Linked DNA regions of Macaca fascicularis. The main gene of each other region encodes a partner of the protein of the gene in region 2 in a complex. Links are inferred from orthologs where the notes say so. Each region holds a gene or a part of one and is shown on either strand. Other genes may lie near its edges.

The links. Proteins that work in one complex are often made in the same cells at the same time.
Region 1: STX7 (region 2) and VTI1B share a complex: the UniProt entries of both Homo sapiens proteins name them as parts of the SNARE complex. The link is inferred for Macaca fascicularis from reciprocal best matches to the Homo sapiens genes STX7 and VTI1B.

The regions. Positions count from the first base shown.
Region 1 is NC_088381.1:135,577,394-135,581,142, reverse strand, and holds the start of VTI1B (vesicle transport through interaction with t-SNAREs homolog 1B), read left to right. Parts: upstream 1-1,452; 5' UTR 1,453-1,606; coding exon 1,607-1,721; intron 1,722-3,749. UniProt on the Homo sapiens protein: V-SNARE that mediates vesicle transport pathways through interactions with t-SNAREs on the target membrane. These interactions are proposed to mediate aspects of the specificity of vesicle trafficking and to promote fusion of the lipid bilayers.
Region 2 is NC_088378.1:36,426,535-36,430,183, reverse strand, and holds part of STX7 (syntaxin-7), read left to right. Parts: intron 1-461; coding exon 462-555; intron 556-1,234; coding exon 1,235-1,372; intron 1,373-2,218; coding exon 2,219-2,271; intron 2,272-2,778; coding exon 2,779-2,875; intron 2,876-3,649. UniProt on the Homo sapiens protein: May be involved in protein trafficking from the plasma membrane to the early endosome (EE) as well as in homotypic fusion of endocytic organelles. Mediates the endocytic trafficking from early endosomes to late endosomes and lysosomes.

The DNA of each region.
Region 1 (3,749 bases), on a different chromosome or scaffold from region 2:
TATTTTAATTTTTTTGAGATAGGATCTTGCTTTGTCACCCAGGCTGGAGTGCAGTGGCATGATCTCAGCTCACTGCAACCACTACCTCCCGGGTTCAGGTGATTCTCCTGCCTTAGCCTCCCGAGTAGCTGGGATTTACAGGCGCCCACCACCACGCTCGGCTAATTTTTGTGATTTTAGCAGAGATGGGGGTTTCACCGTGTTGGCTAGGCTGGTCTCGAACTCCTGACTTAAAGTAATCCGCCCGCGTCGGCCTCCCAAAGTGCTGGGATAATGCTTGAGCCACCATGCCCAACCTGAAGACCGGCATTTATACCCATGGAGTGCAGGAAAGGACCTTGTAATTGTTAACAAGTGACACTTAGTGGCAGATGAGACCTAATGAAGCCAGGCCCACCTTCCACACCAGATTATAAATTCCCCCGGAGCAGAGAGTAAATGTTTTATTCACCAACATGCCCAGATCCCTCGCAATGCCTACGCTTGACAAACACCTGTTGTGAACAAGTGCACGAGGCAGCCTAGCAGCTAGAGTATTTCGAGGTCATCCTAACTGGGTTCCACTTTTGAATTTTTGTTTTTTGGGTTCGTTTGGAGACAAGGTCACCCTCCACTTGGGAGCAAAGTCTCCCAAGCTGGAGTGCAGTGGTGGGAACTCTGCAATCTCAACCTTGTGGACTCAAGTAATCCTCCTGCTTCAGCCTCCGGGGTAGCTGGGGCCAAAAGTGCGCGCCACCTTGCCCGGCTCCTATTTTGGGTTTCCGGTAGTGCTCTCGCTATTGTGACCAGGCTGGTCTCGAACTACTGGGTTCAAGCAATCCTCCCACCTCGGCCTCCCAAAGTACTGGGATTACAGACGTGAGCCACTCGCCCGGCCGAGTTCCACTTCTGAAAGCTTGGGGAGCCGCTGGGCCTTCCAGGAAAAGTGCTCCACCTCCCGACTGCAGGCAGAGCCCCCGGCCCGGCTCTTTCCAGGGCCTAAAGCTAACATTCGGTCAAAACGCGAAATGCGGAATTCGGGTCAGGGTGGCAAAGCAAAGCGCGATGACAGTGAGGACGACGTCTAGACGCAAACACACATCAAATCGGGCCGAAGCCCGCTGTCGCCTCGCGGGCTAAACCTGGCACCCCGGGCAACGCGCGACTCCGGCACCAGACGCTCTCCGAGTCAAACTACATCCCCCGGCGTGCACTGCAGCGCCCGCCCCTGGCCGGCCGGCGGGGCCCAGGAGGAAGGCGGCCGAGCTGCCCGTCCCGCAGGTCCCCTAGGGCCCTTTCTCTGCGGCCTTTCCCCACCCCGGACCGGGCACTTCTCGGGCTCTGCGACTACCATTCGCCCCGCTCGCTCCCTCAGGAGTCGCCTAGGCCGCGCAGTCTGCTGCCTTCCCGTCAGGCCTTCGCGCCGGCGCTCCCGCAATCACGGGCTAGAGAGGGTGGGCGTTCCGGCTCGGGAGGACCCTTCTGCGGCCCCGGAAGAGCCTCGTCCTGGGCAGCGGTGGTGCGGCGGTCGCCGTTATGGCCACGGGACTGGGCGGCTGACCGCCGGGCTAGGAGAGGGCCCAGAGCCCCGAATCTGGGTGGCCGCTGCTCGAGCGCGTCCTGCGCCATGGCCGCCTCCGCCGCCTCCTCGGAGCATTTCGAGAAGCTGCACGAGATCTTCCGCGGCCTCCATGAAGACCTACAAGGGGTGCCCGAGCGGCTGCTGGGGACTGCTGGGACCGGTGAGGCGCGGGTGGGCCACGCCGTGGGGAGCGCGGCCCCGCGCGCTTTGGAATTTTCCCCCACCTTCCTCCCAGACCCGGGCCCGCGTCTCCTTCCTCCGCGTCCTCAGACACGCCCCCTAGGGCTGGCTGGGTCGCAACCCCGGGTCTCCCTGCCACTGAGAGTGAATTGGGGACGCGCCCAGGGACGCGGGGTTCAGTTCCCTGGGTTCCTTCTATGGCCTTCCACATTTTCTCGTTTTTTTCCACTGCGGCAAACAGAGCAGAGGGGCTTTTACATCTGCGGTCCTGTAATGTAGCGTGGGTTTCTTTCGTAGCTGTTTTTGTTTGTTTTATGCATTTAGAAGCACTAGTCTCAAGACAGGTCTAGTTTTCACCAGACTGACAGAGGATCTGTAGCACAGAAAAAGGGTTAAAAACCCAAAAGAGTCATAATTTGGGGCGTTGGTATATACCTGTTATTGGAGGGTAGAGAGCTGGCCTTTAAAACCTTATGGTGGCGTTTAGATGTGGTCTTGTTTTGAACGTTTTTACTGCTGCGACTATTTACTACCCCTTCATTTCATGGTTCAGGTTGCTACAAGTTTTGTCTGGAGGAGCTAGAGTTTTCCGGCCCTAGATCCATAGGAAGACCTGCTATATATAGTTCTTGGCCTCCGGATATGTAGAACTTGATGGCAAGGACAAAACTTTGTTTTATTGCTTTTATTTAAGGATCAGAGCTTGAGTGTTTGCTCAACGAATTACTCAAGGTCATAGGAATTGAATGACTCTGGTGAGAATGAAATGCATGTATTTAATATATATTTATTGTGAGGCTGCTGTGTGCCAGGCACTGTTCTAGGTGCTGGTGAATATTGCAAATTACAGTGAAAAAGACATGCACGTCCCCATTCTAGTGGGTAGGTGATAAACAATATATAACTATTAAGCGGCAGTGTTAAAGAATACAGGAAAATAAGAGTAAAGGAATAGGGGATGGGACTTCAGTTTTATTTTATTATTATTATTATTATTTTTGAGACAGAGTCTTACTCTGTCATCCAGTCTGGAGTGCAGTGGTACGATCTCGGCTCACTGCAGCCTCCACTTCCCAGATTGAAGCAATTCTCCTGCCTCAGCCTCTGGAGTAACTGGGATTACAGTTGCGCCACCACCCCTGGCTAATTTTTTTTGTATTTTTAGTAGAGACGGGGTTTCACCATGTTGGCCAGGTTGGTCTCTAACTCCTGACCTCAAGCGATCCGCTTTCCTCGGGACTTCAGTTTTAAATAGGGCGGTTGTGAAAGTCCTCTGTGAGGAGATGGCATTTGAACTGAGACTTGAATGAAGAGAGGGAGTAAACCAGAAATCTGGGAGAAGTGAGTGTCAGAAGGAGGGAATAGCACTGCAAATGCCCTTAAGCGGAAATGAGCTTGGTGTGTTCAACGAAGAGCAGGAAGTTCCATGTGTTTGGGATGAAGTGAGCAAAGGAGAGAGGTAGGCAGGGCCAGATCATGTAGGGCCTTGTGGACCATGGTGAAAGACTTGTGCCTTTTTCTAAATATGATGGGATGCAGTTAAAATATATTGTGCAGAACCATTGTGGGATCTGATTTATGTGATTGAAAAGTTGACTGCAGGCAGGGCACGGTGACTCACACCTGTAATTCCAGTGCTTGGGGAAGCAGAGGCGGGCAGATCACTTGAGGTCAGGAGTTCAAGACCAGCCTGGCCAACATAGTGAAACCCTATCTCTACTAAAAATACAAAAATTAGCCAGGCATGGTGTCAGTTGCCTGTAGTCCCAGCTACTCAGGAAGCTGAGGCAGGAGAATTGCTTGAACCCAGGAGGCAGAGGTTGCAGTGAGCCGAGATCCTGCCGCTGCACTCTAGTCTGGGCAACAGAGCAAGACTCTGTCTCAGAAAAAAAAAAAAAAGGAAAAGACTGCAGGCTAGGCGTGGTGGCTCACACCTGTAATCCCAGCACTTGGGGAAGCTGAGTTAGGATTATTGCTGTATTGAATGATTTTGAGACCAGCCTGGGCA
Region 2 (3,649 bases):
CATCTATTCACATAGAGAAATAAGAGAGGCCAGTTATAACTAGATCTGGGAACTGGGCAAAGTCTAAGGCAACAAATGTTTTCTTGCTCACCTGACCTTCCAGGTGTGAGATGCAGATTAAGGGCTGCCACATCCCCAGTATCTCAAACAAAGGATCAGACATCCAACAGTCTCTCCTTCAAGTTCCCTCTGATTTGAGTCATCTGTGTTTCTAAATGGTCATTGATACTGGTTTCTCTAAGCTCACCTACCCTGTGTCAGTGAAGAACCTGACATGTAATATTTGCTCAATATTTATCAAAGAATAGGATATGAAATTTTTTTGATAGAGAAAGTTGAGAGCCAGTTTATGAAAAGGCAATTTTTGTACAACTCTTTGTCAGTGTTGATTCAAATGACAGAGTTGTAGCTTAAAGAAGTGTATTAGTCCTTTGGTTGTAATGCGTGCTTTCTCACTTTAGGCAACAGAAGCAGCAGTATACTAACCAGCTTGCCAAAGAAACAGATAAGTACATTAAAGAGTTTGGATCTCTGCCCACCACCCCCAGTGAACAGGTATCAAGCTTTAAGACACATTGTTGATGCATTGAATGTGAAAAAAACCAAATACGTTGTAGGATCTTTGAACTGTTACGCTAGAAAGGAAATTATGCTAGAAAGGAAATCAAAAATAATTCTGTTTGAGATTAGTTCATAGAACACAAAACTATATTTAATTGCTCAGGTAGTATCCTGTGGTTCAATAAAGCAAAAATTATTTCCATGCATTTGCCCTGACCCATAATTAAGTAAGTTCTCAGAAAATGCTTCCTGAGTAATTATTTCCTGGCCTTCCGGGGCTGAGTGCGTGGAACATGCAGGCTCATTCAAGATGTGAGGTGTCCTGGGGGCATATATTTATTTCCCTGCTTATTTAATGGAAGTTATTACTTAGCTAAAAGTATAAGGCTTTATTTGCCTGAAAAGGAATTACTTTAAAATAGCCTCAAAATAATGAGCTAGTTTTTAGCAGCATGAAAACTTGAGGTGAGAAATCCAGCATAATGGGTCTTTTGCCTCCAGTTAAATATGCTCGGTATTTGACATACTGTCAGAATGTTGTTGAGAGTTAATCCGTAAGGCCCTGTAATTGGGGAGCAAGTGAAAACTTCAGGATTAAATAAAGAACCAAGTACTGCAAACTGTTTTACTTCACAGCTAGATTCTAGTTGGCTTTTTCTTCTCTTTCCTCTAGCGTCAAAGGAAAATACAGAAGGATCGCTTAGTGGCAGAGTTCACAGCATCACTGACAAACTTCCAGAAGGTTCAGAGGCAAGCGGCTGAGCGAGAGAAAGAGTTTGTTGCTCGAGTAAGAGCCAGTTCCAGAGTGTCTGTGAGTATTTTAAAAGACATTCTAGAAACGACCCTTACTTCCTAAGGGTCCTATCAAAGTCTATAGTAGCATAATTTTTTAAGTCATAAAGATCTGTGACTAACTTGGAAATCAGCACTTGAATATTCATTTTTATGCTTTTCTGCTCCATTTTTGGAGAAGATGATAATTATGTATTACTGTGGTTTTTTTTCTGTGTCATTGTACAGAAGATTACAGACTATATAAAAATATAGAGACGTATTTTGTCAAAAAAGATGAGGGATCAAACCCTGAGTAGTATTCTCACATCGTCTTGGTACGGAGGCTTTCTGCTTGTGGACACACTAGTATAGAAAGCACTTTCCTCCTGGATTACACCAAGATGACGGAGATGAATGGCGCAACTATGTTGTCTGAATATTGAAAATGAACATGAGCCTGGAGAAAATAAATGAAAGGAAGCTTTACAATAGAATTTTGAATTAATTTAATTTTAAATTCCCTTACAAACTATCACGAGTTTTCTTATTCATTAACATATGAATTCCAAGACTACATTAAGCTTTAACTAAATAATACTTATTTGACCCTTGAGAATGTTTAGTGTTTGTCTACTTAGAATATAAAATTACTTATAATTATGTTATTACTTGAAGCAGTTGACCTGAAAAATTAGAACAAGAACTTCTTTCTCTCTCTCTCTACACACACCACACACACACACACACACACACACACACACACACACACACAGAGACATGTACATAAATCGTTTAGATTATTAGGGAAAATATGAGTGTTTATTTTTTCTCATTTTTGCTTTCTTTGCCACTTCTCATTCCATCCTGTTACTAAATCATTCAGGGCGGTTTTCCTGAGGACAGCTCAAAAGAAAGGAATCTTGTATCCTGGGAAAGGTAAGAAATACAAAACATTTTTCAGATCAAAAGGTAATTTTTCAAAGTTTATACATTAAGGCCCCTGGAACAGAATTAAAGCTTTCAATATAAGTTGTTTATATGTTGAAAACAGAGTAAATTTGAAAAAAAATTTAATTATAAAGTATTTATCATAAAATATATAAAATTTTCCAAATAAATGTTTATGGACTTAATTAATAATATAGACTTTCCCTTATATGAGGTTTAAATCAACTAAGAAGAAATACCCAGTTGACAAATATAGCTTCCAATAATTAAGTAATAACTCTAAACTCACGTTAGATAAAATGATATAAGTGAAATGAAAAATGAATAAAATTTTATTCATATATCTGTTATAGTCTTAGAATTTTTTAAGTGAGTAGTTCTGCGACTTTGAAGAGTAAAACGTCCTATTTAATGAATATATCTTAAATAGGAAATGAATCTCATTGTTTTGAATACCAATCTTTGTTTTTTTCCACATTCATTTTTTTCTGTTAGCCAAACTCAACCTCAAGTGCAGGTGCAGGATGAAGAAATTACAGAGGATGACCTCCGCCTTATTCATGAGAGAGAATCTTCTATCAGGCAACTTGAAGTAAGGCTTACATTGTAGACTTGGGCTGCTACCCTGTTCTTAGTGAGTTTGTTCTCAAAATGCTTAGGTAATGCTGGCAGAGCGTACGAGAAAGAAATTTTATTTTTTTCTTTTTGAGACAGTCTCCCTCTGTCGCCCAGACTGGAGTGCAATGGCATGATCTCGGCTCATTGCAATCTCCATCTCCCAGATTCAAGCGATTCTCATGCCTCAGCTTCCTGAGTAGCTGGGATTACAGGCATGTGCCACCCCAACCGGCCAATTTTTTGTACTTTTAGCAGAGACAGGGTTTCACCATGTTGTCCAGGCTGGTCTCAAACTCCTGGTCTCAAGTAATCTGCCTGCCTTGGCCTCCTAAAGTACTAGGATTATAGGTGTGAGCCACCATGTCTGGCCCAGAGAAAGAAAATTAATGTATCAGTTTGGTAGCATTTGTAATGTATAAATTAGAATAATTCCTTTTTGAAAAAAATAATATTGTCCTTACTGTTTGTGCTAGGATGAGGGAACATACTCCCTCCTACTGCAGCTTTTAAAAAATTATGATTCTATTAAGCCATCTATGGACTACCTTAGTATTGAGAAAATACCAGTGTAGAGATAAATGTCTGTCCGAGAGTCTGGATGTCTTCCCAGGATACATGATACACATCATACGTGCATGAGTAAGACCTTTTATAAAGCCTTCAAAGAATTTTATTTCTCTTCACTATGTTTAGACATCAAAGAGATCTAAAAGATTTATTAAGTCATAGCTCTTATGGAGCCTATTTA